Linked DNA regions of Danio rerio. The protein of the gene in region 2 purifies or fractionates together with the protein of the main gene of each other region. This does not show direct contact. Links are inferred from orthologs where the notes say so. Each region holds a gene or a part of one and is shown on either strand. Other genes may lie near its edges.

Region 1 (17,148 bases), on a different chromosome or scaffold from region 2:
AACGTTATGCGTGAAGTGAAAGTCTCTCTTTCTGTATTTTTGTGTTAACTATTTAATATATCTGCATAGTTATCCAAAATAATGTCCTGTGAGTGTTTTATAACAGACACGCGCCCATGCAGGAGGATCTAGCGAGGCTCAGTGGGGGTTCTGCCATAGAGTGTAAAATAAACTTGCATGTGAGCTTCAGATGCTCTGGCGGAGCTGCTCACTGGTCCTGTCAGCGATCTCCCAATAATATCCAGCTGCAAACTCAACCGTCTGTATATCTTTGAATAGATTTAATAGTAGATATTCAGTCAGTTCAGCTTAAAGCAGAAGCTGGTCTTTTGCAGTCTCCCTGCTGACCTGTGGTTCTCTTTAAATCGGTGTATGTATTTTTTTTTTTTTTAATAAAATTTTATTTATATAAAATAAATAAATAAACATATGTTGAACTGTCATGGCATTATAAAATAGCCATGTTTATCTGTTGATCTGGTTTCTTTGAAATGATTGAACATCACTGCCTGATTGAGATATGATATAAAGGGAGACTCCGACTGGACCAGAAGCACTGTATTAAATGAAGTTCCTTGCATTATCTTTAAAATATGGACAATTGTTTTACCACAGTGTTTTCAATGGTGTGTCTGCGCTTGCCTGCTGCTCTACGGCACTTGCGTTTAAACCTGTCATCTTGTTTAAACACTTTAACAACTAGATGAATGCTTAAGTCGATTACAAATTATGTTATAATTAAGTTACATCAGTGCTCTAAAAGAAACCTTGCGAAATTTCAAATGGTCACAATCAAAAACACACACTTTAACCAGAAGATTATCGGTGGCTGAAAAACACTTGCATATAGCCCATTGGACAAACTTTAAGAGGCATATACTTTCATGTAACCGCATGTAAACAGTCATGTAGTGTCACAATTAGAGGAAACTGAGCAATTTGTGGTCACTCTTGGCTCATTTCCTGTACCTGACAATCCTGTACAGCCTTACTGAAGAAGCTGTCCAGCAACAAACTCTGCAGCTCTGGGTTCCGGTCAAACGCTTCCTTGATCTTTCCCAAGAAAACACTGCCAAAGGAAAGATTCAGGACCATTATTCATATCTTACCCAAGTAATATGAAAGCATAGAGCCAAACCGTTTCCTCATTCTGTGCATGTGGGATTTTTTACATGAAACATTATGACCACTTCATAGAGTTACAACATTTACTGGGTGGAGAAAAGATGAAGTTTCACATGATTTCAGAAGAGAAATATGGCTTTCCATCCTGACCATTAATCTGAAATGAGCATACAGCTGAAGGCAAACTTTTTAGCTCTATAAAATTTGTATTTTTCCAGAGATGGGTTGCGGCTGGAAGGGCATCCGCTGCGTAAAAACTTGCTGGATAAGTTGGCGGTTCATTCCGCTGTGGTGACCCCGGATTAATAAAGAGACTAAGCCGACAAGAGAATGAATGAATGAAATTTGTATTATTTTTTAAATATTTATCAAGTGGTGTTTAAACGGAGCAGTATTTCCTATAATATGTTTTCTTCTGGAGTCTTTTTATTTATTTTATTTAGCATGGAATAAAAGTTAACTTTTTAAAGCAATTTTTAAGGTCAATAATATTAGCCCCCTAAAGAAATTGTTATTTTTGACTGCCTACAGAACAAACAACTGTTGTCCAATGACTTGCCTAATTAATCCAACCTAATAAACATAATAACCTAGTTAAGGCTTTACATTGCACTTTAAGCCGAATACTTGTATCTTACAATCATTCATTTTCTTTTCGGCTTAGTTCTTTATTAATCAGGGGTCGCCACAGTGGAGTGAACCACCATCATGCATAATATCTACTAAAATATTATGGGTAACACTCATTATATAACGATCATTAAAGTATGAAAATACCAACATTAAGTACATAAAAGTGCTTATAATTCAAGAACACTACATTTGTAGCTGCATTTATAAACAGCCTACTAATATCTATTAACATTATGTACTATGTCTATTAACATTATGTACATTACTACTGTACGTAACATTAATTCTTAATAAAACAATGAATTAACTATTTGCTAATGCTTAATAAATGACTCCTAGTGTGCAGTTATTTAAAAGTGTAATTAAATACTAATTATTTTCATCATGGCAAAGACAAAAGAAATTAGTTGTTTAAACTATGATGTTTAGAAATCAGTTGAGAAAAGCATTTTCTCTGTTAAACAGCACTCGGGATTTTAAAGAAAACTGAACAGGAATGCTAATAAATCTGACGTTAAATCTGACTTTGACTGTATATCTTTTGGAATGTTTTTGTTTAAATAAATGATGGATTTACCTGCGGATGATGCAGCCTCCTCTCCACATCAGAGCAATAGCACCATAATTCAGAGACCAGCCGAACTCCAGCGCAGCCTGACGCAGCAGCATGAAGCCTTGAGCATACGAAATGATCTTAGAGGCATACAAGGCCTGAAATAGAAATAAAACTAATTATATTCATAGAGTAAAAACAACCCTCCAGTAAACCTTTAATACAACCATTATTGTTATTGGTATTATTATTTTTATAATATGTATAGCGTTTAACATTAACAAATGTACAATCAAATTAAAATACAAACACATTATGCATGTTATAATTATCTACATTTAATTTGACCCCACCTTTCTAATGTCTTCAAGGAACTGTGCTTTGTTTCCAGTGAACTTGACACCCTGAGGGCCGCTGAGGCTCTTACTGGCCTGAACTCTTTCATCCTTCAGAGACGAGAGGCATCTGGCAAAGACAGCTTCCCCTGTGACACACACACAAACAATCATCTCCAGTTACACAGACCGAAGCTCTGCATGCATAATGAGATTAGAATCACCATTAGACCATCTCAGAGATTAGAATCGTAAGGAAATGTTCAATTTTTCCCCGCAAAAAACCCACCTCAATTTAACAAAAATAAAAAATCTATTCAATAGAACACAAGCAAAAATACTTTGGATGACTGCTAAATTATCCTAGATTCTCCTTTTGCTACTGTGTCCAACAATAAATTTATCAAAATAAGAATATTAAGAATATTAATAAGAATAAGAAGAAGAAATAACAAAAGCAAATAAGTAAAAATAATGTCTTTTATCTTACAATGCAGTGATTGAATGCATCATACGCTAAAGATTTACTGTGTGGTATGAAAACATTACAGTTCAATCTGAAGCTCAGCTTGGAGCGCTAGTGAAGCCATGACAATCATAGGGAAAAAGGAGCAATCAGTTCAGGACTAAGCTATTAAAAATTTAAATTATATCTGTGTGCAGATATAAAAGGAAATTTAAGGAAATCTTTTTCTACCTACACCAATTAGACTTTTAAATCTGTCATACTTGTTAATGATTGAATTGTTTGTGTTGATTTGTGTTTTTAGATGTCTCTTTCTGTTCAGTGTATGAAATTGTGGGCCTAAAGTCCAAGACATATTTCCCCATTGGGGACAATAAAGTGGAAAAAAATAAACTGTGTGAATTATTAAAGCATTATTATTTCTATTATTATAATTAACATGAAAAATATATAATTATTTTAATAATAATAATAATAATAATAATAATAATAATAATAATAACAAAAACTACAGATGATTTACAACAACTACTAATAGAGCACAACAATGCATAATTATATTATCTTCATTAATACTACTACTACTACTACTACTACTACTACTACTACTAATAATAATAATAAGCATGAAGTATTAAAGCATTATTATTATTGATAACATGAAAAAGAATGTGCCATTATTATTATTAATAATAACAACAAATTATTTACAACAGTCATTAAAAAAGTACAACAAATAGATAATTATGTTATCTTCATGAATTACAATATGAAGAACAGCATGAAGTATTAAAGCAGTATTAATAACAACAACAATTATTTTTTACAACAGTTATTAATAAAGTAAAACAATGCATAATTATATTAGCTTTATTAATATCAATATACAATTATAATTCCATAGTAGTAAAATAGTTATAATAATAATAATAATAATAATTATTATTATTATTATTATTATGTAGTCATATATCTATATAAAAGCACACTTTAGTATCTAGTTTAGTATCTCTGCATTTTTAAAAGTCAACAAAAAAATGTTTACTTTAACTGTTTTGCATTATGACAAAGAATTTTTCTTCCCATCAAATCAATCAAGTATTGTAATATGAAAAACAACACTTGTAAAGACAATACTTCGTCATCTTCACTTCTGTCTTTAATAAAACAGTTTAACTATTATAGGCCATTATCCACGGTGCTTCAACAAGTCAAAGTATGATTCACTTTATATCTGGTACTGTTGACACTGCTAATGTAACTCTCAGCAGTGTAACCGACCAGACATTTGTGAGAACAGTAGCTTACCACATTCACAAACACAAAAACCTGAACTCAGCATGACTTGGTATTATATTATCACCCAACCCAAGGCCAACAAGTGAGGGAAGAGGAGAGGAGGAAGGGAACAAATATCTAGCGTAAAGCAGCCAGTCATGGTGAACTCAGCACTGGAATGCAGCCTTTTGAAAGACGGAAAGCCTCCTCTAGAACCACACAAATCACATCTGTTCTCTCACGCTTCAGCGCTGCACAAACAACTATTTTACTGACACTAAACAAGCCCATGTCCTGATCTGACAAATACATGTCAAGCCAGGTCAAGTTTATTTAGATTGCATATTTAACAAAGCATAGATTGTAAAAACTGCTTTATAAAAGCATGCATCACATTGAGAACTGTAGCACAACTGGTTTTTGATTGTGACCAATTGTTAAAAAAAAAAAAAAAAAAACTAAAAAAAAAACACTGCTAAGTTTTCAAAACCTTAATTCACCACAAATTAAAAAAAAAAAAACTGAATATGTTTTTTTTTTTTTTTTTTTTGTGCCCTGGCCAATGTTTCTGATTTATAAATCTAATCTTTAATCATTTTTATTTTTAAGAGAGCAAATGTCCTTAAATGTTATTTTTATTTTATTCTAATATACAAAAAGCAGTCAATAATCTTAAAACAAGTCAAGTCAGATCAAGTTTATTTGTATAGCACTTTTCACATTACAGTTTAAATACTGCTTTATTCAAAACAAATGCATCATTGCTGACATGTATTGCTCAATCTTGAGGGAACATATTTTTATAAAAGTTTACAAAAAAACTTAATCTAATCACAAAACTCAAATCACAATATTTTTCATCTATTGGTCCAGGCCAGCGTTTCTTTATTCATAATGGATTTTAAAAATGTTTTTTAACATATGACCAAAATAATTTTTCTAATTAAATTCTGCAATTTTCACTTTATTTATTTAATTTTTTACTGTTTTACAAGCTGCGCCTGCAAACTGAAAAATGATGCACAAAATTCTCTGCCAAAATTACCTATTTTAAAGTGTTATTCCCTTTAATATGCACCAAAAATGTTATAAAATAGATAATAAATATGAAGAGATGGTCACAAATCATTCACACAAATGTCTCATCTACACTACCACAATTACATTGTTAAATAGCATTATTCTGAGACCTTTCAACAAAAATGTACACAACCTAAAACCAAATGCCCAAGTCTGAAAATATGAAAAGATTTCACATTTTTCAGTGGCAACACATCATTGATTAGAAATAGGCAAGGGATAATGCCTGCTTTCAAGGTTTACCTTATTTTGGGGAAAATCAAGGTTTTAAAAGGCACCTAAGGTGAAAAATCTACTTTTTTAGCTGTTTGGACATACATGTGTGTAAGTAGTGTATATACTGTCATATTGGGGTGAAATAAACACACCCAGTCCTTTTTTTTTTTTTTTTTTAATTTAACAACATAAAAACGGTGGACCAATTGGAGTGGTTTTCAGATCGACTGCAACTTTACGTAGGAGTGCAGTCCCCCCGCCCACCAATACTGATTGACAGCTGCGCGCATTAACATGTCTCCGTAGTAACGCAAATACTCATATCGACAAGACAGGATGAGCGCAAAGCAACCGGGAATAAAAGATCTGTTCAGTTTGCTAGGATCATCCATCATCATCAGACGTGATCAAGAGTGAGTTGTACAAGTTTAACATGTTTTAAAACGTGTGCACGTGTGTAATGAAGTACAGCCATTCACTTCAGATTAACTTCATCAGCACAGCCTTGTGTCTCTCTCACGGTCATTCTCTGTATGTCTGTGTGTCTGACTGTCTACGCTATGTATGTGTGTGTGTAACTGTGCTATGTGTGTGCGCTATGTGTGTGTGTGTCTGTGCTATGTGTTTGGGTGAACTCATTGTTGCAACTCCACAATAAATGCATCAAATACTAATTGGTAAAGTTCTTACTGCAGTATTTCTCACAAACGTTACATGAGATCTGCTTCGTGAGGCAGCCGTGGGCGACGATTAAGGCATGTTGCTGACAGGCAAGTGGGAACGGTGGGCAGGGATGTCTCGCCTTAAAGGCCCAGTGCAAAAAAAAAAAACATCAACAAGCTTTTCCCAGCTATAATACAGACATTTCAAACAGCTATAATAAATACTCTGATGGGTGTTTTGAGCTGAAACTTTACAGACACAAAAGACACTGGGGACACAAAAGACTTATAATAAATATATAAAAAGGGGTAACCTGTGTGCCCTTTAAAACTGCTAAAATGTTTGGTTATATCATTCCTACAGTATATGAAAGCTGTTTTTTTATTTGAGTTTTTGCATTTACCATTTAAAACACCACATTATCCCTACCCTACCACAACCATGGCATTGAAAGAAAAACAACATAAAAATAAAATGTATATCGTTCCTGACTTTGAGTTGACAGTGAGAAAACAGAGTGTACTATATTTGTACAGTTCATATGTTATCATTTCACATAAGAGGCTTGGCAACATCTAACAGAAGGAATATACAAAAGAGGTGCATCTTAATACAAAACAACCCAGGTCATATCCTCTTGAATCACAAAATCTGCCAGATTTATCAATGTTAACAGTGAGGGAATACATTAGGTCATATTTTTTTAGTCAATATGTTATCATTTGACATACAGGGCTGGGTGACATTCAAAAAGTACAAAATAAAAATAACATAGAAAACATAAATAAAGAAGTCATTATAAAGAATTTTTTTTTTAAAGGCCAGGGAGTTCTTCAGAGTAGTTTATAAAGGGGGACCATTGTCTATGAACTTGCATTTAAAGCCTCGAATCATGCATTTAATCTTCCAATTGAATAGAAGACATCACTTCATTTATCTAGAAAGTGTGTGTTGGAGGGTCTACTCTTTTCCACTTGAATAATATTAAACGTCTTACAGTGTAGTGAATGCAATAATCAAATGTATATCTTTACTAAGATCTATATTCCCAGACACGACACCAAAAATGCCCATCAATGGATCTGGGTCAATTGGAATGCTATATATCTGTTCGTATGTTTCAAAAATCCCTTTCCTAAACTATTCTAGCTTGGGATAAAACCAGAACATATGAGCAGTGGTAGAAATTCTTTTTACGTGTTTTTTATATTGTATTTCATTTCGTTTCCTTTTCCAGCAGAAAAGGACCCTGAACATCAGAAGCTTCTGTTCTAAAATATTTTAAACGTCTCTTACAATTAAATATATTGTGTTCAATGGGGGGAAAAAAGTAATTTTTTACCCAGACATGTAAAAAGAACAGTCTTTAGAGCATGAAATGGGGATATATTTATTTAATTTAAGGTTATCATACCGTCAGAATCTTATACCAGCTCATGCCTAGTTAGAAATTGTCTCACATTAGCCCATCCCTGAAGTTGAATCCTGCACCAAAAGCCACAACACAAGACAGAACAGAAAATCCCACCTATGCCAACATTAGCTGAAGAGGTGGACGGTAAAGCTGATTATAGAGGCGCTTCATTCAGGGTGTTATTATAAGGCCAACTGACTCTCACCCTCTATCTAAATAACAGAAACACACCCACACCTGGGAAATTACGCAAGACTCTCTATCTTACCGATCAGTGTGACAGGTGTGCCGTATTCCAGAGCAGAGATAGCCGTCCATTTCCCTGTGCCCTTCTGCCCGGCGCTGTCTCTAATTTTGGGCAGCAGGTTAGTGCCGTCTGCGTCCTTGAATTTTAGGATGTTGGCTGTGATCTCGATGAGGAAGGAGTCCAGCTCTGTCTTATTCCACTGTTCGAAGACCTGATAGGAAAACAAAAACACTGGAATTCACTCTCAAGAGGAAGCAGACCAAAACGGCACATTAGAAAGCAAAGAGTGAGGTATATTTCAAAATACAGAAGAAAGGAGGAAGGAGGAAACCAAGGCTTACAACATCATGGACTGTTCTTGTAAAAAAAATAGAACAGTAATTGAAGAAGGAAGTGGATGTCTGACCTGAGCCATTTCATCATGGTTCATACAAAGCACGTCCTTCATCAGATGATAGGCCTCACAGATCAGCTGCATGTCCCCGTATTCAATACCGTTGTGGACCATTTTAACAAAATGACCCGCTCCTTCATCTCCAACCCAGTCGCAGCACGGCTCTCCGGTGCCCACTTTGGCAGCAATGCTCTGAAAAATGTCTTTTAAGTGTGGCCTGAAGAAACAAAATCAAATAAACTGTCAAGCAGTGCACGCATAAATACACTTAATAATCAATTAATTTAAAAGTATTAAAAAGTTTTAGCCGTTTTAAATTACATGATGTTTTTTTAACTATATATTTATGAAATGAATCCCACATAAGACTGATTTAAATATTAAAAGTGCAGTTGTTTGGAGTAGTGATTGTACTACTTGAGTACAAAATCTGAATATTCAAATAATTTCTGAATTGTGTCGCGAGTAACGATGCTTAAAATTCAGCCTTGAGTCACAGGCATAAAATTACATTATTAATTAAATTTAAACTATTTTTAGTTTAAATAATATTTCAGAAGATTACTGACAAAAACAAATAAATTATGCCAAACTTGGTAGTCCAGATAGTCCATATTTATATTTATATATATATATATATATATATATATTTTTTTTTTTTTTTTTTTTTCCCCATTTAATACACACTTATCCTCACCAGGCATCTTTATGTCCTCCGGGCATCAGCGAGGGTCCGTAACGTGCCCCATCTTCTCCTCCACTTACTCCACTACCCACAAACAGAAGATTCTTCTCCTTCAGGCTCTTACAACGTCTCTATATGTGAAGACCAGTAATATTGAGATTCGACATGATGATGAAAACTGTTTTAGGTCTCATTTTAGATGGCCAAACTCACCGTTGTATCTCTGTACTCTGAATTTCCACCATCAATGATGATGTCTCCAGGCTCAAGAAGAGGAACCTACAACATAAAGCATATAGACAACTTCTGAGTCACTCACAACAAACTAGGACTATCATTTCATGGTGATATTTACCAGTTTATCGATGAAGTCATCAACAGCCTGTCCTGCCTTGACCAGCAGGATGATGCGGCAAGGTTTTTTGAGTTTTGACACCATGTCTTTAAGGGATTCGGCCCCGATCACCTTAGTGCCTTTGGCTTCATTGTTTAAGAAGTCATGGACTTTGGAGACGGTTCTGTTGAATGCACAGACCTAAATAAAAATGACAACTGTTATAACATCTTAAACATGTTAAAATCATGGAGAAATGCAAATGCACTGATGTGACTTACCACAAATCCATGGTCATTCATGTTCAGGATCAGATTCTGACCCATCACAGCTAGACCAATGAGAGCAATATCTGCTCTGTGGAGACATTATTAACAGAATGAACACTGATTATATTTAATTACAGAGTGCAAATTACAAGAAATCATGAGTAGGTCAAACGTCAGTCTGGCTGGGTGACTTTAAAGAGACTTCAACATTAAATCTGTGTCCGAGCATAGAGAAAAGGTGCTAGATATTAAGTAGACAGTTCAGAATAGAGACAGTCAATGCTGATTACGTGCAATAAGCAGATTACATTGCATTTAAGTTGAATATACAAAGTCAAAGGTGATAAAGAAGTTGGACATTTCACTACTCAGCATCTCAGACGCAAAATTCATACTTACTGAGCCATTGTTGAAGTTTGGTTCCGTTCAAAAATGAGAGTTTCGATGAGGGTTTTGACTGCTGTTATTCGGTCTCTGCTGAACTTCCTCATTCACGGCCTTGTGGAGCAGCACTGCACCAGCTCCCAATGAACACGCCTGACGGATGAGTGTGCTCGTGGCGTCATCCCTATCTCCGGCTGTGATAGGCGGAGGCTCTCTGAGCAGAGATTGGAGTCCGGTCATTTGCTGTAAGCTCCTGTTCCACCCCCCGTATGTGCCCCGCCCACTGTGCTTTGACAGTAGCTGTCTGTACGAGAGGAGTGTTTGGCAGCATAGTAAACGAGGAATTAGACTTTCCATGAGGTGAATTGGGACATTGGTTTGCTTTTGAAAGAAGGATTGCTTCACTGTGATAATGTGTAACATATATTAAGTTTCATCAAAATAATTAATTATTAAACGGATTACTACATGAATAGATAACGACAGTCGATTAGATTTATTAGGTAAGTTATGGGTTGAGTACAATTTTAATATTAGGCTAGTTGTACTTTAGTAAGGTCTGAAGGTCATATCTTTCACTACAAACACATTTAATTAGATATAAACACCCAAATATGATGTTTCATTTATTTACACTCACCGGCCACTTTATTAGGTACACCTGTCCAACTGCTCGACGCAAATTTCTGATCAGCCAATCACGTCAGCCACTCAACGCATTTAGGCATGTAGACATGGTCAAGACGATCTGCTGCACTTCATAGTGAGCACCAGAATGAGGAAGAATGGGGATTTAAGTAACTTTGAACATAGCATATAGCATGTTTGTTTGTGTCAGACGGGCTGGACTGGGTATTTCAGAAACTGCTGATCTAGTGGGATTTTCACGCGCAACCATCTCTCGGGTTTACAGAGAATGGTCCAGAAAAGAGAAAATGTCCAGTGAGCGGCAGATCTGTGGGCACAGGAGGTCAGAGGAGAATGGCCAGAGTGGTTCCAGTTTATAGAAAGGCAACAGTAATTCAAATAACCATTTGTTAGAACCAATTATACAGAAGAGCATCTCTGAATGCGCAACACATTGAACCTTGTTGAGGCGGATAGGCTATAGCAGCAGCGACATTTGGATGATAGGGTCAAAATTAGGAATCAGCAATATGAAAGCATGGATCCATCCTGACTTGTATCAACGGTTCTGGCTGGTGGTGGTGGTGTAATGATGTGGGGGATATATTCTTGGCACAAGATTGAGCATCCTGTCAACGCCACAGCCTGAGTATTGTTGCTGACCATATCCATCCCTTTATGACCACAGTGTACCCATCTTCTGATGGCTACTTCCAGAAGGATAATGCACCATGTCATAAAGCACGAATAATCTCAGGCTGGTTTCTTGAACAGGACAATGAGTTTACTGTGCTGAAATGGCCTCCACAGTCACCAAATCTCAATCCAATACAGTATCTTTGTGATGTGGTAAAACGGGAGATTAGCATTATGGATGTGCAGCAAACAGATCTGCAGCAACTATGTGATGCCATCATGTCAATATGGTTGAATCGATGCCACAGAGGATTAAGGCAGTTCTGCAGGCAAAAGGGGGTCTAGTAAGGTGTACCTAATTAACTGTCCAGTATTTCCATATACATAAATAAAAAAAATCTGACAGTTACTAGCAATATCAATTTAGAAAAGTAAAAAAAAAATAATAAATAGGCAAAGTCACCAATTAAACCTTTAAACACTAACATTATATAATGCATCATAAACATAACGCAAGTGTCGAGTAAGGAGAAAGAACGACACAAAAAGAGATCTGCCCTCTGTCTAATGCACTGGTTGTAATTTTATTTTTTTACCTCATTCACTAAACAGGTCAATGGTGCAAGATTACCATACACAGAATTAAGATATATGCATTACACGTCTAGGCTATACAGCGAATGGATTATAATTATTACAAATACAGGAGACATATTTACATTTTAATCCAAGTTCCATACAACATGAAATATTTACAAAATAAGTATGAAAATGAAGCCAATCTGACAAATAATGTACAGTGTTAATGCCACAGCTAAACTGTTTCTGTCGTTTCATCACAATGAGAGGGAACGATGTTCATCTGGAAACGTGAGGTGATACAGTAATGCCAGGGTTGCTTCAAAGGCAGCATGGGAGAAAAAAATGCATGAGTGAGCGGAAAAAAAGAAAGAGAGAAATGACCGTGCCAGTAAAACAATGCTATATTTTTAGAAAACATATTCCCTGATGTTAGAAATTAAAACGCACAAGCCTCATCGCAACTCTAGACTAAATGTGGAAAAAGTGCCCATGTAACATCATCCATTTCCTATTTCAAGAAATAAGAAGCACAGCAACATGTCAGTCCCTATATTTGTCATATCTCATCAGATAATTCATGCATTTAGTGGAACTCAAAATACATTCAAAGTCCATTTCCATAAACACCACACTCCATTTGGTTTCCATTCCAGAAAACAAAAAACATAATTCAAGCTTTATTTGTTCTGTTGTTAGTTTGTATAAACGCATATTATGTGCAAAGAGCTGCAAACTAATATATACATTGCAAAACAATAAATACAGTTAATGGAAATTCATTATGAATGTCACATTAGTCAGTGAAGCCACTCAACAAAGATTGTTAAAAATATATCAGAAAACCTTTGCTCTGGCCAAAAAAGTAACATTAACTCATAAAATTAGATAAACGCTAACCTTCATTAACTCTCCATGCTCCTTATGTGCCAAATCAGAACATTTTCACAGATTTCTTAACAATCCAACAGCTCCGATGAGGCCTGCAGGCTGGCTGACCCGAGGACTTTCAGAGATTCAGAGTCGTTTTCATGCGTTTCCTGTGAAAATGCACTAAAGCGAGCTTATTGACTTCATATCAGTGATCAGCACTTCTGTAGCAGTCATCAGTTCCTGCTGGTTGTCTGGCCAGAGGAATGTTGTTTGCCGAAAATCAAACTGGATCACTGCTAACTTCAGCACTTACATCTAAACTGCATGTGTTCAAACATACAAGGTAAAGATCTTCAAAAGAAACACTGAAGAGTTCTTCAGCCTCTAAGTGCCGTCTGAAATTTCCATCGAAAATCAACATTTTTCCAGCTTCCTTTGTTTGTGATGTCCTTTAAAGACCAGGAAACGGACTTATTCTTTGCCATAAACGTGATATTACTGAACACACACAGGAGCCTGAAAAAATGCTTATTTTAAAGGACAATTTCAGACAGCATTTAAAGGTTTTTTCATCTAGTCAACTATTAAAATTAGACAACATACCATCCCTTTTCCCTCACTGCGCCGCAGTGAACTGCACAAGTGGCCCAGTTTACATCCACTGACAGTGATGAAACGCTTTTAGTGGTCCGAGTAAATAAATAAGACTATAAATGAGGAAAAAGTGCCCTTCTTGTCTTCGTTTGTATAATGTAAAACACTGATCGCTTGTTAATAAAAATAAGTTAAGAGATATGTGGTAAATGCGCACTCATATTTAAAAGTCCTACTCTTCTTCAAAAAGGCTGGTTTAATGATCCTGCTGATCGGAAATTCCTCTGCAAATGTGAATATCTGCGTAACCGTAACCAATCAAATCAGCATCTCACTTCAGATGAGACGAACAGCCCGCCAAAAATGGCATTCCAGTAATACAGTAAGGACAGAAACTCATGAAGAGCGATAAGCGCAGTAATCCTGAAGGTTATGTACAAATGGGATTCATTCGGTCAGTTGTTCTGTGTGTCTAAGGTAATTCTTTTGCACCATTTTATTTTCTTAAGCTAATCTACTGAGGAAATCGAGCAGAATATTCCTGTAGGCTACTGAAAGAGTGATATGAGAGCTCATGGTCATCTTTCCTTCATGTACATCATGATTAGATACTGCACTTTGCTAAATGGCGTGTTTTACGTCCTTCATATGTGGAATTTATGTCAAGCAAATACACTGCATCAGGCTGGGCCAATGGGCTGTATGTACACGGTCAACATACCCACTATCATTGCTAGCTTTGATTTAGCAAATCCAATACTGCGAGAACATTCAGTTTAATAGTCAATTTCAGCCTCTTTTAGAAAATTAAGCATCTCGAAGAAGTGCTTTGGTCCATCTGAAAATTCAATTTTTTTCTGCGCTATTTGGAGCAACGCTATTTGTGAGAGAAAGTTGATTTTTTTAAACCTTTAAATGTGGAATATTTGATATATTATTATACTATTCTTATTTATTTTCTTCAACCTTAATGCCATAGGGGTTTATAGCAAACTGACTTTCTCCTGAGGGTTGTGGGTAAGATGTTCCTGGCAGACAACACTGTAAAAATGAACTGAAGAGAAGCAGAACCTGCTCTGAAGATTCGTGCACACACAAACAGACTATTACAACATGCAACTCGAAGGAGGTTCAGTTATGACAAAGAACGAAAACTGAAGACAGAATAAATCCGATCAATAATAACACAATAGAGAGGGAGGAGGAGGAGGAGAAGAGGAACTGAAAGTTCATTTGCTGGAGAGGAGAACAGAGCCACAGGTCTACATACAAGAGAAACCGTCAAGAAGCACAAAGATTTAGAAGTGTTAACACACTTGGTACGCTGTAAAGGTAGACAGAGAGAAAAAGAGCACTATCTCTGCATGTGTGTGTGTGTGTGATCACTCAGTTCTTCATCACACCAGACCGTCTCCTTGCAAGCTTCGACCTGCAGGAGAACATAGAGAGTCAGAAGGACAGCGCACAACAACATCAACAAAAAACATTTACAAAGAAGTGAATGTGACTGCTGATGGACTTTAGTCAAGGAGGTAAACATTTTTTGGGTTTTTTTTTCCTTTGTTTTTTTTTTAGGTATGGATTTTATGGCAAATTACAGGAAAAGGACAAAATTAATTATACTAAACAGAGCAATAAGGACTGCCTGATGGCCCGGGGACAGCGTGTGAGATGCTCGGCACAGTAGACAATATTGTTACTGGCCCAATCGGGCCACTGATGCCCTGTCACTAAAGTTTAATTTGCCTGTGACTATTTGTCAATTGTGTGCAAAAACAGTGAGAATCGAGAAACAGTTTGTGTTTTTAAGTCTTCAAATGCTACCTTCTCAGTTCCTCTTATCTGATTGGATGTTGTGAGCACGTTATTTATTCCGTAACAACCAGTACAGCGAAGTGACAGCAACATGGCAGCAACATCAAGTGAGGATGCTAAAGGAAAACATTTGTTTCTAATGTCATGGAAGCAGACATTTACGAGGGTACACCACAACTAAAAAAATGAAGTGATGTTTTGTAGTTTGCCGTCAGTTTGGCAGGTCAGCCATCTTTTGTTGTGCAATAAAATGCCTGCACATTTTGCTACTTTTGTTTGCAAAACACTTTGAATTTTGCTCATTATACATTTATTAAATTAAAAAATATATATATTTAAATTCTAGATTTACAAACATTTTGACACATTTTTTTTGCGGCTAAGAAATAACTAGTAACTGTTATTGAAAATATTGGCAGGGCAAGTAAAAATCTGAACCACTGGTCTGATCGGGCAAGTAGAAAAAATCCTTAGCATTAAACCCTGCTAAAATTGTATAAACAATATCAACATAAGGACATACTGAACACATAATGAAATAAAACATGGATAATGAAATAAAATAAAGTACATAATAAGGCTGGGCGATATGGCCTTTTTAAAACAATCACCAATTTACAATTTTAATTGATCCCCTCCCAGGAAAAAAAGCTTGGAGTTTAACCAAAATATATATTCTTCATAATTCTAATTAATTATAGGATATAACAATGCTCAAGAAAAATGCTGTTATTTAAAGATTAAATGTAACAAGATCTATTTACAGTTGTAACCAAGACATATATAATAATGATCATTTAAATTAAACCGTTTTATACAATTACACTGAACAATTACAGTATGATAGTTAAAAGGGGACCTTTTTTCAAGATTATTTATATTATTTGTTTATTTAAAAAAAAACATGCAATTCAGAGGTATTATCATGTTTATTTTGTGTTACATTAGTTCATATAAAGTACTTCTATTAGGCCAGTGGCCTGTATTGTATTGCTTTAATTTGTGTTGAGTCACTGCATCTGGTAAATCAGTCTAGTGCATTGAGCGAGTTTGTCAGTGTTGATATTGAAAAGTACTGATCGTTTTCTGGTCTTTCTAGATCAGGGGTGGCCAACCCTGTTCCTGGAGAGCCGCCTTCCTGCAGATTTCAGTTGCAACCCTTATTAAACACACCTGCCTGTAATTATCACGTGGTGTTCAGGTCCTAATTAATTGGTTCAGGTGTGTTTGATATGGGTAGCAAATGAAATCTGCAGGAATGCGGCTCTCCAGGAACAGGGTTGGCCACCCCTGTTCTAGATCATGTACTTTATCCAAAAACAGCAACATTGGATTTCAGCATCCAACTGTTCCTTTCATATGCGCAACTTCTCCATTAAATGTTTTATCTATTACTTCTTACTGTGAGAAATACATGGTGTGGCCCGCAGTTTCAAATGTGTGTGTCTAACAGGGAATGCGTGACTTAGAGCCCTGAATTATGCAGTTTATTTGGCGGGTGTGTTTGTGCGTCCTTGTTTTTTTTTTTCCACTTCAAAGAGTGCAATATTTCTCCAAGTTCTTCCCTGCTCGCTGACGCTGCCATGTTGTTGTATGTTTCAATAGCAAATGCGGTGGGAGACTACAGAAATCAAACAAAAAAAAGGTAAATAATAATGTTGCTTAGCAACAACTAAAATTGTGCAACCTGTATCACACACTAAACTAAAATACATTTGCTGGAACAAAGACACAGTCTAAATCTGACAAGAAAACATGTTCTTGGACATATTTCTAAATGGGTCCCACGTTTTATTAAACTGGTCAAATTGTTCCAACTTTAGGAAGAAGACATCATGTGTTTCTGATACTTTCATCTAAGCAATATTAGTCATTTAGATCGGTACTTAAAGTTTTTATATACCTACTTACTGTGATTAAAACTTGCGTACAATACAGTTTAATATGA
Region 2 (17,097 bases):
ACACAACCAAGAGCAACAATGAATAAGTGCTATAGACAAGTTTCAGGTCTGTAAAGTCTAAGAAGGGAAGTATTAGTAGTATTAGTATTTTATTTTTATTTTTTTTATAAATATTATATATATATATATAATATTTATAAAATGTATGATATATAATATTTATAAATATGATAATAATATTTATAATAATATTTATAAATATGATATGTATTATATAATGATATAATAATGAAATATTATATAATAATATTTATAAATATGATATATATATATATATATATATATATAATATTATATTTATAAATATTATAATATTATATATTTTTTTATAAATATATAATATTATATAAATATTATAATATTATATATATTTTTAATATTATAAAATTATATATATTTTTTATAAATATTTTATATATATATATATATATATATATATATATATATATATATATATATATATATATATATATATATATATATATATATATATATATATAGATAGATAGATATAGATAAATAGATAGATACAGATTTTTTTATACCATATGTATATATCTATCGCATGCAAAATAAGGTTATTTCGACACATATATAATACACAGACATATATTGTATTTATTATGTTAAATAAAACAATTGTGTTACATAGATATTATAATTTGTATCATATACACATATATTTCATATCTAAAAATAAATAAAGGTGGGTGACACTGTGGCTCAGTGGTTAGCACTGTCGTTTCAATGCAAGAAGGTCGCTGGTTTGAGTGCCGGCTGGGTCAGTTGGTGTTTCTGTATGGAGTTTGCATGTTCTCCCCGTGTTGACGTGAGATCCCTCCGGGTGTTCCGGTTTCCCCCACAGTCTAAACACATGCGCTATAGAGGAATTGATTAACTAAACTGGCTTAGTGTATGAGTGTGTGTGTGTGTATGGGGGTTTCCCAGCACTGGGTTGGGGCTGGATGAATGAATAAATAAAATTTTCTCAAATATATGCATACAAGTGTGTATTTATAAACACATGATAACTATACACATATATTATGTCAAAATAAACTTCTATTTTGGATGCTACTGAACAACATCATACGACCCTCAGAATTAGATTGAGAGACTCAATTAGACTTACTTTCAAATCGACTCCAAATTTAGTGCCAAAGCGGATGTTTCTGACAGCGTAAGGAGCTTGGCTCATGCTCTCTGATCCTCCACACAGCACCACCTCAGACTCTTTCAGGCAGATCTCCTGCAGCACAACACACACAACACACACACACACACACACCAGAAACTCATATCAATAATCTGGTTAAAATGATCATTTATCCCACAAGCAATTACATCTCTAAATTCCTCTTCTCCTTCTGAATATTTCACAAGTAGCATAAGCATTTATAAGTAATGCCGAGTTCAGACTGCGTGGTTTTCAAAGTAGTCGTGTCACAGATGTTTTCACACTGCTTGACTATCTGGGCTGGCGTTTTGTCGCTGCTTTGTTTACACTGCAAGATGAATCGGCAGCAGGGACTTTCACATTGCATGACTTTACAACAGGAAGAATCGCCGACTACTTCGTCCAAACTACGTCTCACAGCCAAAAAAACGTCGTATAACTTTTGTTATTAACTACATAATGAGAAAGAAGCCTTTAATGGGGTAGAAAATGTACTTATTTGCTCACCTGGGTTTAAAGGGCATTAGCAATCTCTCCCTAACTTTCTTTTTTAACTTTCTGTATGACACGTCAAACACACACGGGTGCTTTTGTCAATCCTCCACTAGTTTTTCCTCCATTTCTTGGATCCAAATAAACTTAATATGAACGCTTTTAACCTCTCCCCCATTCTCCCGCTGGCCAGCAGGTACACACACACACACACACACAAGTGAACGCTGCTCTCTCATTGGCTGTACACAATGTTATTTTCAGTCAAAACTCAATTCACACGGCATGATTTGAATCGCCGACAGCTCCAGATATTCAGCACGCCAAATATCTCGCAGGCATCGGCGACTCATCAGCGATTCTCTCAGATCGTGTCTTTGACAGTTCATACTGTGTGATTGTCACTCACATGCACGAGCACCGATTTGCCTGTGATTTCAGGCATTTGTTGGCGATTTCTCAAAACCTGTGGGCGAGTCAAAAATCATGCAGTCTGAACTCGGCATAAGGGAACAATAACTAAGCGAACGTTGTTTTTTGAGTCTTTTGATAACTTAAAATTCATTGTATAATAAAAGTTTACACTGACCTTTATGAAACATCATAAACAAAGTTTTATTGGGAATAAGCAGTGTTTGTTCTTTAAAAATTGCTCCTTATAATCTGGAATTTCAACATTACATTCAGAGCTTGCTCATGCTGTATATAACTTTTTCATTAAAGAAATCTTTCACTGGGCAGGGCACGGTGGCTCAGTGGTTAACACTGTGGCCTCACAGCGAGAAGGTCTCTGGTAGAAGTCTCCGCGGGACCAGACCAGATTTCTTGCGGTGTGTTAGTGGGCGGTTCAATCCGCTGTGGCGACCCCTAATAAATAAGAGACTTAAACTAAAGAATACTTATAAATGAATGAAAATCATTCACTGTCATACGGAGATCTAACAATATCGCTCCCGACTCCCGAGTGAGCGAGCACACACTTGTATGTGTGTGAATGAGAGAGCATGATGCTGTGTTTAGCTTGTTTGTTGCTGTCTACTAGGCTTGGGTGGTATCCAAATTTTGATACCGTCAAACCTCCTCCTCCGGTATCCGGTATTACCGGCGTAATTAAAAAAAATATGACGTAAGGCTCAGACAGCGTCACCAAACTGTTAGCTTGTGCCTAAATCATTCAGAAACTGAATACCTTGTATGCGACCAGGTTTGAATTAAATTAAAATAAACTCTAAATGATGACGGGTATTTTGGCAATGATGAAATTAAGATAAAGGCTGTGCGAGATTTGTTTCAACACTTCTCTTCACAATCTGGCATTAAGGCGACTGTGAAGCTGAATATTAAAATAATAATGCCACCATTAGCCTGTATACTCTGTCTACATTATGATTATATGGTTTCATTAATATTTATTTATAATTTAAAAACCCTTTACTCACCAAGATTAGGCTACGTGTGTTTGTGGAGGAACATTATTAAATACACTGGCTTTAGCGCAGTCCTGCGTTCATGCTGCGTCCAGCAGAACTGAACACCCTTTCCTGCGGCTACAGGCCGAGATGCAGAGTTCTGATCTGGCTGATTTTGCAAGTTTTGGGTAGGATTGTTTGTTCATCTTCTACCAGGCAGGAGCAACCATTTAATTTTCCATGACAGCAGTTTCAGTGTAGCGAATGGCCTCGTCTTTTTACCTGTCAGCTTGCGGTTTTGCGCTCTACCGTAATACGTGTATGAGCGACAGCCGAAATACCTTGACGGCTTGAATGACTGTTCCTTCTGAGCTAGTGACTGACTTGACCGCCGTCAAAATTTGCGTTTTTTTACTTCTCCGTCATCATTTCTTTTACATTTGCAGGGATGGATTTTAATGCAGGGATTTGGATTTCTCGGGTCTCGCCGGGTTCGGGGAAAGATCGTCAGTTCTAATGCAGACCTCTAGTCTAGTTCATTCATATTTACCACGTCTCCCTTATCTTTCAGTCGATACCGAAAATACTGCCAAACTGCAGGTCACTCATTTTGGAGCGCGACTCAACACCTCACCTCTCCCTCTCCCCCTCTCTCTCTCTCTTTCTCTCCACCACACTGTCCCGTGATGACAACCACACATACGTTTTTGTAGGCATTAAATAAAGGATATTTAATATTTTATGACGGTATAACGGTATTGAAACTGACACCGTTGCTATTTTTAGATCCTGCGGTATACCATAATACCGTAATACCGCCCAAGCCTACTGTCTACGTGTGAGTGTATGTGTGTGCGAATGAGAGAGAGAGCTTTGTGCTGTCTATGTATGTGTGTGTGTATGTGACAGCGTGTTATAGGCTGTCTGGACTCTGTATAGCTGGGTGGTTTTCGGTTTTGTTCTCCCCCCGCTCATTAGCGGGACCAGGCCCGGTGTGTAGAAAACGGGGCTGTCGGGCAGTGGGACAACAATAGTTGAATATAAGCAGGAGCGGTCGGGTTCGGACTAAAACCTGGCGGGAGCGGGATTCAAAATTTAGTCTCGCGCAGGTCTCAAGTCTCTGGTTCGAGTCCTGGCCAGACCAGTTGGCCTTTCTATGTGTATTTTGCATGTTCTCCCTGTGTGGGTTTCCTCTGGGTGCTCCGGTGTCCGCCATAGTCCAAACACATGTGCTATAGTTGAATTGGGCAACAATATTGGCCGTAGTAAATGAGTTTATGTGTGAATAAGTGTGTATGGGTGTTTCCCAGCACAGGGTTATGGATGGAAGGGCATCCGCTGTGTAAATATAAAAACATATGTTGGCGGTTCAATCCGCTGTGGCGACCCCTAATAAACAAGAGACTTAGCCTAAAGAAAACTTATAAATGAATGAAAATCTTTCACTGTCATACGGAGATTTTAATCATAAACAAAAGCATCGAAACTGTAAGTCTGGTTAAAATGTAAAGTTTGCACAGCTGAAGAAACTGGAAGACATTTATTTAATGAATCGTGACTCCCAGAATTAGATTGTGAAGTCCTTAAAGATTCCCACCCCTTAATAAACGGCATTATACTTTATTAGAGACTTGAGACCTGCGCTGGACTAAATTTTGAATCCCGCTCCCGCCAGGATTTAGTCCAAACCCGACCGCTCCAGCTTATATTCAGCATTTGTTGTCCCACTGCCCAACAGCCCCGTTTTCTACACGCCGGGCCTGTTCCCGCTACTGAACCGATACCGAATTGTCCGCATCTGCATCGCGGTGCACCAAAGAAACAATTAATTTTGACACCCCTAGTTGTACCTGTGCTCCATTGATTATGGACTGGAATCCGGACCCGCAGAGGCGGTTTACAGTCAGCGCTGGCACTGGGATGGGCACACCACACCGCAGACCCACATGACGGGCGATGTAGGGGGCGTCTGCTGAACTCTGGATAACAATAAGAGAACATATGTGCAGTATTAGGATTTGGGCTGGAGCTCTTTTTTTCACCAACCTACTGGATGACTGAAGCATCAAACATAATAATGAACGATAATAAAAAAAGCATGAGTGCTACTCTTCTGCAAGGTGATAACCTCAAAGCTAAAAAAAAAACATTAATCAAAACTCTCTTAATATTCAAACTAATAAAGAAACTCTAACAAGTCTCTCTCTCAAATATAAACACCAAAGACACTTATAAGCTAGTTATCCTTGACATTTACTTTTACAGTTTAAAAATTACGACAGTAAATCTTTTAGATTTTACCACTTGAACAAGTATTTTTTTCAGTGCAATACAAACAGGAATAAAACTATAACGTTTAGTGTATTTATTTAGAATATTAATCAGAATAAACTGTAAAGTTCAGCTAATATAATCAGAATATCAATCACAATAAATCTGTTTTCAAACTTTCAACTCGCTCTTTAAGATCTCAAAACTCAGGGCAAAGTCGAGTAAAGGAGGTCGAGCCTTCTCATTTATGGCTCCTAAACTCTGGAATAGCCTTCCTGATAATGTCCCAGGCTCAGACACACTCTCCCAGTTCATCTTTTTAGTATAGCATTCACTCAATGCATCACATGATGCATGAATGTGCTCCACGCAGGTGAGCTGGCTTGACAACCACCTGTAGGACACACTTTTCCTGTCTTAATGCACCAGACATTTTGTTAGAAACACTCATATGCTTTACATGTTTGTTTGTATAACTGCTATTTACATTTATAGCACTTCTCATGTTTAAATACACTATAAATAGCAGCTACGCTAATTACATTATGATTTCTCTATTTCCACCTGAGAATACTCATCCTGAGGCCTCTAGAGATTATGCAGCGCCACTGATGTGATTCAAGACCTGTAAAGAAATGACACCAAGGTATCCATAATCCTGGACCAGGCCGTATCCTGAGCTGATGCTGTGGCAGTCATGAAGGAGTGTGAGACTGGTTCCTGAAAGACCACAGTAAGAGACAAGTCTTCGTATTGATCCTGTGGGCCAGCCTGATCACCCGCTGGTGACCTACTCACACCTGCAGCTTCTCCATGATGGATGTCCAGCATTCTCCAGCCTCCAGCGCTTAGACTGCAGCTCTGCACACGAAGTTTGGCCAGAGGAGAAATGGTCGTGCACAATTAAGCCTGGGTTCTGTCGAGGTTTTTTTTCCGTCACTTTGGTCAACAGGCGAAGTTTGTTCCTCCACTGTCGCCACTGGCTTGCCTGAGTTTGGACTTGTAGAGCTGCGCATCGATGGATTTGCTCTTCAGTGTTTGGACTCTCAGTATTGAATATTAAACCACACTGAACTGAACTTCAACTCTGAAAACTGGACTCACACAGTTTCAATTTACTAGAACTTCTATGTTAAGGTGCTTTGACACGATCTACATTGTAAAAGTGCTTTAGAAATAAACATGAATTGAACTCAGTGTATTTAATCAGAATACTGATTGGAATAAAACTATAAACCGGAACTAAAAATACACTGCGCTGCTGATAGGGTGAAGTGACGTCATAGTGAAACGGGTCTATAATGCTCATTAGCCAATCAGAATCAAGCATTCAAAGTTAAAGTCAAAATTTAAAGATATGAATTGAACTTCTAGTCTGAGGGTGCTTTCACACCTGCCTTATTTAGTTTGATTGAATCGCACTAGAGTTCGTTTTCCTTTTTGGTGCGGTTGGTTTGGGCAGGTGAGAATGCAGCAATCGTACTCGAGTACGCACCAAAAGCGGACCAAATAAGCGTACCGAGACCTGCTTAAAGAGGTGATCTTGGTACGCTTTCAAACGAACCCTGGAGCGGTTCATTTGTGGTGAGAATATGATCCGTACTAAAACAGGTCCAACAGCAAAAAGTACTGCGCCTTTTGGACTAATCCAGCTGCCGTAGGCCGATGCGCCAACAGAGAGAGAGAGAGAGAGGGCAAAACATTACCTGATGGATCGTTGTTAATATTTCCGCAAGATGAGCATGTCGCAGTTTCGCTAAATTAATTCACGCCTCATGAAGTGACGAGTGATGCATTAAAACATTGTTTTCCAACCAGTGGCGTAGCGCAAAATGCGGAGGCACCCCAGCAGGGAAGGCTGACGTCATACGTCAATTTGCATATCACTGACGTCATCACGTTCTACCATTTGTGTTTAACAGCCTATGGTTAATAAAGGGGTATTTATAATTGCACTACACTTTATATAAGCATGTTTATTTAACTAAATTTATTGCTGTTTAAATACAGTATATCATTATAGATGTGTAACGTTAGTGAATGTGCAGTAATCTCTCATATGTAATAAATTCAGACAAGTTCAGAAACTGTCACTAAAATATCTGTGATTGTGAACAAGAAAAGAATAAACGGTCCAATTAAATTGTTAAAATAAAGGAGAAGCAGATCGGTTTGACTGTATAAGGGAAATACCTTCACACTGCCTGTGCTAAATCATTTGTCGTCGGTACGCAGAGGCGTGATCTGCATTCGGGCTGCAGGTGGGAGAGGCTGCTGTACGAGAACTGACTGGGCCGCCTGTCAGTGCTGTGAGGCGGGGGAGGGGCCGGCGGCATCACACGCAGCTCGTTGAGAAGAGTAGGGACGGTACAGTATGGACAAATGACAGTCTAAAAAAAAATCTCCAATAACACACAAAAAAGTCGCTAGATTTGTCGCTAGGGGGTCTGAAAAGTCACTAAATCTAGTGACAAAAAGTTGGCAACATTGGCGGCAAGCAATCAGAATGAAGTAGTCCACCGCTTGAGAGGTGTTCAGAGAACACAGACCTGTGAACTTTGGTTCCGACCACAGTTGTTCCCGAGAGTTTGATTATTACGGTTGCCGGATTTTCAATTATTGAAAATCGCGACGACGTGGAGCCCCCTAATCCTGCGGGCCTGTCCGCTACGCCACTGTTTCCAACCGCGGCCGCGCTTCATTTTCGTAATGTATAGTTTGTCTAAAGCAGGCATACAATCAGTCAGCGCAGTCGTCCCTCCAGAGTAAAAGCAACATTTTGTGTCTGCCGGTTTTGTTTACCTGTGGGAGTTCATTGGCATTTTCCCGCACATGAATTCTGACCAATCAATAAGCAGTTTAGGAAATATGTTCAGCAACATCTGGCCAATGAGAGATGTGGATTTTGTCAGATGACTGCATTTGGGTTCGTTTCAACTGGTTCGGACCAAAGCCAGCAGTGTGGTGTGAAAACGACCCAAAGACGGCAGAAGATGCAACAATGTATCATTGGTCCAGACCAAATGAAGCGAACTACAGATGTGAAAGCACCCTGAAAGAGAACATGCCAAAACAGCAAAGTAGTCTGGCTTCTCAAAACTGACAATGATTCTGCATGCACTGTAGTGTCATGTTTTATAATTAAAGCACATCACAATCTCTCACCTGCATGACATTTCCGATAATGACACTGTTGACTAGTTCTGGAGCCACATTCCCCGCAGCGAGAGCTGCTTTTGCAGCGTGTTCAGCCAGATCTGTAGCACTGTGGTCCTTCAGAACGCCTCCATACGTGCCGAACGGCGTCCTCTTCGCCGAGACTATAAACACACCTAAAGAAAACACATACAGTTGTGATGTAACATCATGATAACGAACATCCATGATGTTATGATCACAGGCATTTCAAAATTTGTTGGCATTTCTGTGTGGAGTTTGCATGCTCTCCCCATGTTGGTGTGGTTTTCCTCCAGGTGCTCCGGTTCCCCACAGTCCAAACACATGCGCTATAGGGGAATTGGATAAATTAAATTGGCCGTTGTGTATGAGTGTGAGGGAATTAATGTGCATTGATGCTTCCCAGTACTGGGTTGCAGCCGGAAGGCAATTAATAAACTGTTTAATTTAACCCTTGTGTGTTTTCGGTGATGTTTTCATCCACTCTGGGGTGATTTTTAGGCTTAATTTGGTCACAACATTCTCTGTTTCAGCAGAAATAATGATTTTTGGTGTCAAATCTTGTTTTGACATATATTTTGAGAAAATGTTTTGAAACAATTCACTCTGGCCAAATTTACTACACTTTCATTATGTTGGTGGCTGTTTTTGACCCTTTGAATTCCTTAATAATCACATTTAATAATTGCAAAGGCATGACAGCATATAAACATGCAATCATGACTGTTGCTGGTTTTTCCTGTTGTGTAGACATAAAAAGTAAAATTTTTAATGTTAATATTAATTCATTTCAATAGACACCTAATGAAAACCACTACAAAAGCATTTATTAATCTTAGAAGATGTTATTTTCTTAGCTCATGCCAAAGAACTTCTTCAAATTAATGGTTGTAATTGTTTTATTAAATTGAGAGTTAATAACTAATAAATTCAATTGTATTTTCAAATTAATAATTTTAATATATATTTTTTAACTACCATAGTAGTTTGTGTTAATAAATGTTTATTTCTCACTGAGTTCTACACATTGACTGACATTTAATAATAAAATCTTGCTATAAAGTGTTACCTATTGTACTTTATAATCCTTTAGTTACATTTATATATATAATAAAGCAATTCTGCACACACAATGTTATTGTTACTTACTTATTATAACTGTTAAAGTATTCTTTTTGCAGTTTATAGTCAATATCATCATGAAAGCTTAAGAAATGAATGAATAACTTTTACACCGACATAAACCCTGATCTTTACTTAACCAACATCAGGTACATTTAAATCCAGACTGAAAACACATGTTTAGCTCTGCCTTTACTGAATTGAGCACTGTGCTATGACCGACAGATCGCACTATTATATATTATAAAACTGGTTTTAACATATTTTAATCTGTTTTTAATACCTTTTATTATTTGTTTTTTTTTCTTATACTTTTATTCCAGTTTATGTAAAGCACTTTGATTTTCCACCGTGTATGAAATGTGCTATAGAAATAAACATGCCTTGCCTAATCTGATTTGATTCCTGTTGTTTACAGAAAATCAAGACTGTTATAAAAAGTACAGAAATGTAAGCATTATAAATAAGTTAGATATAGATAGATATGGCTGATTCCAGCGTTATGGACGTGACATTTGCAGCAAAAATTCAAAAGACAGACAGAGCGTGCTTAGCTTTTGCACTATTTTTGCACGCAAATGTGTCAGGATACAGGCTAATCTCCACTGCTGTGTGGATATCTGTTATGTTAATGTACAAAATAAACCTGTTTTAAGGTCCACAAACCAGGATTGACGCGTCTCCCTTTATAATTGTTCTGACACGCGGCTGTGCTGATGAAGTAAAGCTGAAGTAAATTGCTGTACTTCATTACACACATGCTCTGTTTTAAAACATTTTAAACATGTGAAACTCACTCGTGATCACATTTGATGATGATTGCTGATCCTAGCGAACAGAACAGAGCTTTTATTCCCGGTTGCTTTGCGCACGTCTGGTCTTGTTGACATTATTATACACGTTACTACCGGGACATGCTACGCGAAGCTGTCAATCAATATTGGTGGGCGGGGGGACCACGCTCCTACGTCAAGTTGTGGTCGGTCTAAAACACGCTCCAATTGGTCCACCGTTTTTATGTTGTTAAATTGAAAAAAAAAAAAAGGACTGGGTGTTTTTATATCACCCAAATATGACTGTCTATACACTATACCTACACACATGTCTGTCCAAACAGCTTGAAAAGTAGATTTTACACTATAGGTGCCCTTTAAAATTATATTGAAACATCTGCTTTTATTTTCCAAAACAACTAACCACGGAGGTATGGGATCAAAAAATTTCAATCTGTGAACATTTTCTCTACTTTAAATGAGGAAAATAAACATGCGTTATGGATGTGACAAAAACAGTGTGCCTGTTTACAGAATAAAGCATATTTTGTAGAAATTCTGTGAATTAAACTGCACAACCCAAAATAAATAATGTTCATACAAAAGATAAGAGTTGGTTTTTATAGAACAAAAATGATTGATTTTATTTTTCATTTTTGCGGGAAAAGCTTTGTTATGGATGTGACACTTTTTCGTTATGGATGTGACGAATGTGAAATTGCCATTTTTGTGACTTTGGTAAATCAAATATAATAGTTTGAAAACATTGACAGAGACATTTTAAGTATTTTTTTAAAGTACTGTATAACACTTGCCTATGCAAAAAAAAAAATGTAGAAATGGTTTAGCTATTTTGGTGAAAACATTTTTTCTTTTCATGGCAAGGTCGACATTTGCATGGAATTGCACATATACATATAGATACACACTCGTAAATGGATATATGAAGAGTTTAGGTGCAAAACCCTCTAAACGTCGTCTGAAATGTTTTCCTAAAGTGCACATTTTTTTTCAAGCTCCTGTATATTCAGTAAATCCACTTTAATGCCAAATAATGTTATTTGCATTGCCTTTGAAGTGAAATACCTGAACACAAACAGGATCCTGAGTAAAATGCTCATTTTAGAAAAATATTTCAAATGGCACTCTTGCGTTTGAACTCTTTATATTAGACAGATAGTTAGACAGACAGGCAGGTAGATAGACAGACAGACAGACGACATAGAGTAAACTTTACTACTCACATATAACATTTGGGTTAATATTAACCCAACAGGTAACCCAATGATGGGTTGTTTTGGCACCGACCTTCTGTTGGGTTATTTTAACCTAATCCTTTGAGTTGGTAACGTTAGCCCAACAATTTGGGTTACAAAATTAACAAATCTGTTGGGTTAATTTGCCAAAATGTGGCTTAACCAAGGAATATCTCAAATATGTGTATAATATACCCACCCCCACCACCCCCAAAAAAAAAAAACTTTAGAAATGAACACGGAGGTAGAGAAAGTGCTTTTATCCATATGTGAATCAGCTATGAAGCGTGCGTTTGTATCATTAAATTAAGGGTGCAGGTGAAACGGTAATAATAAACACAACACTAATTTAGGTAATTTGCTAAAAAAAAAATGTTATTGCGTTAGGTCTAAAATAAACTTTATAACGCAAACACAACATTACGTACGAACATTAATACAACTGATCTGTGTCAGTTAAATCAGTTGACTGTTAAAATGTAAAGGTTTTTACCCAACTGGTTGTGTTATTAAATAAATAACACAACACAACTGATCTGTGTTATGTTATGTTATATTATATTATATTTAAATATTAAATAAATAACACATCAAAGGCTAAAAATAACCAAACAAAGCACCAAACATTTAACCAAACTTGTTGAGTTACTAATAAATAACCATAAAGGTTCAAAATAACCAAACAAAGCACCAAATATTTTTAACTCAACTGGGGGTAAATAAATAACCCAACATTTTTTAGTGTCGAGTAAACATGGGTTTATGTCACTGACCTCCCCTTTAACCTAATTCTGCCAGAAGTCATAGTTTAATCTGATGTTTGAGCTTCCTACACGACAGCTAACTCTTCTTTTAACTTTAATTAATTACATTTAATTCAGTTTTGATTCATAACGACGATTCAAACTAATTGTATTTAATAAAGAAGAGTCGAGGAGGAAAAAACTACAAGAATTCACTTAAATAACACAAACTTTAATCAACTTTAAGCCTTCAACTATTTTAGATGTGGTATATAAAATAAAAACATTAGTAATAAAAATAGGAAAAATAACTGAATATTAGTGACATTGAGGAGATGAAGAAGTTCAAGTGCAGTGCAGAAAACAAGTGCAAAAGCAGATAACATGTACAAATCAAATCATTCGAGCATTTTTAACACACATAACACATTAATTTATCGTAAAATATATAACGTTTATTTACCTCTGAGGAGAGACATGATATCGACTGTGCTTGAGATCGTTTGAGCAGCTTCAAACACACAAACGCACACACACACCGACCTTTCACCTACTTACTCTTAACATTCACTTCACAACATTCGACGCACACATAAAAATGAATATTCCATAACAACCTTATATTCTAAACGAAAATATATATTATACGTCCTATTTGAAATAATTATGATATTTAACACAGATATTTAAATTCTGATTTTAGCTAATAAAGAAAAAAACAACAACGCGAAAGTGCGTCTGTGATAACGGAAGTGTTTTTACACTGACCTACAGATCCACACTGGCCACTGAAAGGAGCAAAACATTTAATTTCTCACATTTTATGTTTGTAAAGTGGATATTTCTGTAAATTATGGCGGGATTTGTGTGTCGTGCTGTAAACCGGATTATTTCGAGTCAATCCTCGTGGTACGTATGTGACTTTAGATATCCATGTGCACGCGATAATTGTAAAGTAACGCACAGAGGTCATGAGGATGATAATCATTGTTATGCTAATAATTAATAACTCTTTTTACAGTTGCAGTCCTGTTATTGCTGTCAGACACAGTCACTGGTTTACCTCAATGCTTTCGTTGAAAACTTCCGCACCATTAAGGTCAGTGAAGATACAACTTATGTTATGTATGATGATTAGTTCACTTAATGTCTTTTCGGCTTAGTCCCTTTATTATTCATCACAGCGGAATGACCCGCCAACTTATGCAGTATGTGTTTTTACGTACAGTAGCTGATGCCCTTCCAGGTGCAACTCAGTACTGGGAAACACCCATACACATTCACACCCACACATACACCACGACCAATTTAGTTTATTCAATTAATCTGTAGCGCATGTATTTGGACTGTGGGGGAAACTGGAGCACCTGGAGGAAACCCACAACAACATGGGGAGAACATGCAAACTCCATACAAAAATGCCAACTGACCCAGCCGGGGCTCAAACCAGCAACCTTCTTCCTGTGAGGCGACATAATTATTTTAAAATAAATGAACGAAAAATTGAACAAAACTAGTTGAAACATTAGACTCGTTATCTGCATTTAATATAATTTCTGTGTAAATAAATGAATCAAAATGGACATTTTATATTTGATCCACATATATACCAGACATTTTATATTTGATCCAAGACTACCAGACTCATTAATAGCTTTTTTCCTCAAGCTATCAGACTGCTCAACTCACTCATGAAAACTGGATTATAAAATCACAATCAACAGCCCACACACACAAAAATCTGTGGAACTGTGAGAAAAGCAAACTCAATGTTTTTATATTAATATTCCTTGCACGTGTAACATGTTTACAAAATACACTTACCTCTAAGCTGCTACTTTGCACTTTGCACTTTTGCCATACTGCACCTAATTGCACTACAATAAATACCTCAACTTGGTCATATTCTGGAACAATAGGATATATGGTAACTGTTCACAGTTTATTAGTGTCTATTATTTAATTCATCTTGTACTATATTAGTTAAATGTTTAGTTTATGTCTAGTGTGTGTCATATTTTTGTTTTTTAAATTGCACATTGGAGTATGGGAGAAACGCAATTTCAGTCTGCTGTGTAATGTACTGTTGCATGGTTTGATTGACAATAAAGTTGACTTGACTATACACTCACTGGCCACTTCATTAGGTACACTTTACTAGTACAGGGTTGGACCCCATTTTGCCTTCAGAGCTGCCTTAATCCTTCGTGACAGATTCAACAAGGTACTGAAAATATTCCTCAGAGATTTTGCTCCATATTGACATGATAGCATCACACAGTTGCTGCAGATTTGTCGGCTGTGCATCCATGATGCCAATCTCCACCACATCCCAAAGCTGCTCAATTGGATTGAGCTCTGGTGACTGTGGAGGCCATTTGAGTACAGTGAACTCATCGTCATGTTCAAGAAACCAGTCTGAGATGATTCACGATTTCTCCAATCTTCTATTGTCCAGTTTTGGTGAGCCTGTATGAATTGTAGCCTCAGTTTCCTGTTCTTAGCTGACAGGAGCGGCACCCGGTGTGGTCCTCTGCTGCTGTAGCCCATCTGCCTCAAGGTTGGACGTGTTGTGTGTTCAGAGATGCTCTTCTGCAGATCTCGGTTGTAACGAGTGCTTATTTGAGTTACTGTTGCCTTTCTATCAGCTGGAACCAGTCTGGCCATTCTCCTCTGACCTCCGTCATCAACAAGGCATTTGTGCCCACAAAACTGTGCTTACTGGATATTTTCTCTTTGTCGGAGCATTCTCATTCAACCCTATAGATGGTGGTGCATGAAAATCCCAGTAGATCAGCAGTTTCTGAATGACAACCATGTCATGTTCAAAGTCACTTAAATCCCCTTTCTTCTCCATTCTGATGCTCGCTTAGAACTGTAGCAGATCGTCTTGACCATGTATACATGCTTAAATGCTGCCCTGTGATTGGCTGATTAGTAATTTGTGTTAACAAGCAGTTGGAGAGGTGTACCTAATAAAGTGGCCGGTGAGTGTGTGTGTATGTGTATGTGTGTGTATTTATGTATATATATATCCATGCATATGCTCAGGCTTGTGTTTTACAGTGCTGTAAAAATACTCAAAAATGTCTCTGTCAAGGTTTTCAAACTAATATATTTGATTTACCAAAGTCACACAATTGGCAATTTCACATCCGTCACATCCATAACCAAACTCTTTCCTCACAAATGTAAAATCATATAAAATCAATGATTTTTGTTCTATAGAGAGCAACTCTTATCCTTTTCATTATCATTATTTCTTTTGCAAACGTCACATCCATAACTCTGAAATTGCTCGTTTCATTTTTTTGTTTTAAACACCACAGAGCCGAACCCAGGAAGAAGAAGAAGAAGGTGGACCCGCGGCAAGAAATTTTAGTGAAGGACCGACTGAAGAAGAGACTGAAAAGGATGGAGAAAGTCTCTCCAGAACTGATTCCCATTGAAGACTTCATAACTTCAGCCAAAAGCTTCGACGACACCAGGTGAAATAATACAATATTTTATAGATTTTTTTAAATTGGTTTTTTAAATTAATTTATCAGGATCCTCATTAGCCGCTACCAAGGAAGGGGCTATTCTTCCTGGGGTTCATCGAACATAACACAAAATTACATTAATTCATAACAACAAGACCAATAAAACATTAAAATATAAAATTCATACAAATCATCCAGATCAACAATCCTCTTAATATTGTTCCATTAAATATTTCTAAACCGATTTTTAAAAACATCTTTTTACTTGTTACAAAGCATGTAATGTCTGATGGCAATCATTCCATGTTTTCATTCCTCTATACGTTACAGTCTGTTGCTTTACATTAGTTTTTGAAATGGGAAGCAGAAAAATTCCTTTTAATGCATGCCTGGTGTTAAAATGATGACTAGCATTACTATACAAAAGTTGACAGTACAATACACTTGGAACTCTTGTCACAGAAATATTTCTTATGATTTCATAGAGAAACCATTACCCTATCCTTCACCAATAACCAACCTAAAGTTTTATGCATTTTCATAATATTAACTCTTCTGTTGCTGTGTAAAATTAGTCACAGATAATCACACGGAACTACAGTCTGGATAACAGATTCAGGAATTTTTCACAGTATTTAATATAATATTGTTTCTTCTGGAAAATGTCTTATTTGTTTTATTTCGGCTAGAACAAAAACTGTTCCTATTTTTTTAATCCATTTTAAGGTCAATATTATTAGCCCCCTTTACCTTTTAAGGTGTTTTTTTACATGCTTTTCTGATTTCTCTTTGCTGTTTGGGCTTATCGCAACATAATTAGAATAAAATATAATTATAATCTTTTGATATGATGTACTTTTAGAGAAAAATGATGTTCATATATGTGGACTCGTCGTCTGAATTTACATAAACACTTTTCCTGTTTGTTTTTAATGCATATTTAACATATTCATTTTTTAACATGTTTTGACTATCAGTGAGTAAAAACAAAAAATGTCCCAATTTTGGACATTTAAAATAGTGTTTGGGATATTTCATATGCTGCAACACAGTTGCAGGATGACACTGTATGTCTGAAACGAAATATAAAGCATTCAACATATTTTAAATAGCCACTTAAGAGCTAAAATGTGCTGTCCACGTATAAAGACACTCAAGCCCTAGGAGGTTAAGCAATATTTCTTTCTATAGTCTA

Evidence for each region.
Region 1: the proteins of acaa2 (region 2) and pgd fractionate together in Homo sapiens (co-fractionation; 3 studies listed by BioGRID). This does not show direct contact. The link is inferred for Danio rerio from reciprocal best matches to the Homo sapiens genes ACAA2 and PGD.

Annotation. Positions count from the first base shown.
Region 1 is NC_133198.1:32,324,286-32,341,433, forward strand, and holds the start of pgd (6-phosphogluconate dehydrogenase, decarboxylating), read right to left. Parts: upstream 10,203-17,148; 5' UTR 10,184-10,202; coding exon 10,092-10,183; intron 9,781-10,091; coding exon 9,705-9,780; intron 9,625-9,704; coding exon 9,445-9,624; intron 9,369-9,444; coding exon 9,303-9,368; intron 9,221-9,302; coding exon 9,102-9,220; intron 8,622-9,101; coding exon 8,417-8,621; intron 8,222-8,416; coding exon 8,032-8,221; intron 2,796-8,031; coding exon 2,665-2,795; intron 2,470-2,664; coding exon 2,336-2,469; intron 1,070-2,335; coding exon 970-1,069; intron 1-969. Other genes in the region: kinesin-like protein KIF1B, read right to left, coding at 14,772-14,814. UniProt on the Homo sapiens protein: Catalyzes the oxidative decarboxylation of 6-phosphogluconate to ribulose 5-phosphate and CO(2), with concomitant reduction of NADP to NADPH.
Region 2 is NC_133183.1:3,746,880-3,763,976, forward strand, and holds the start of acaa2 (3-ketoacyl-CoA thiolase, mitochondrial), read right to left. Parts: upstream 8,402-17,097; 5' UTR 7,543-8,401; intron 6,211-7,542; 5' UTR 5,145-6,210; coding exon 4,929-5,144; intron 2,649-4,928; exon of another isoform or gene 1,837-2,648; intron 1,309-1,836; exon of another isoform or gene 1,250-1,308; coding exon 1,133-1,249; intron 1-1,132. Other genes in the region: mrpl40 (large ribosomal subunit protein mL40), read left to right, coding at 13,274-13,329, 13,442-13,519, 15,750-15,908. UniProt on the Homo sapiens protein: In the production of energy from fats, this is one of the enzymes that catalyzes the last step of the mitochondrial beta-oxidation pathway, an aerobic process breaking down fatty acids into acetyl-CoA.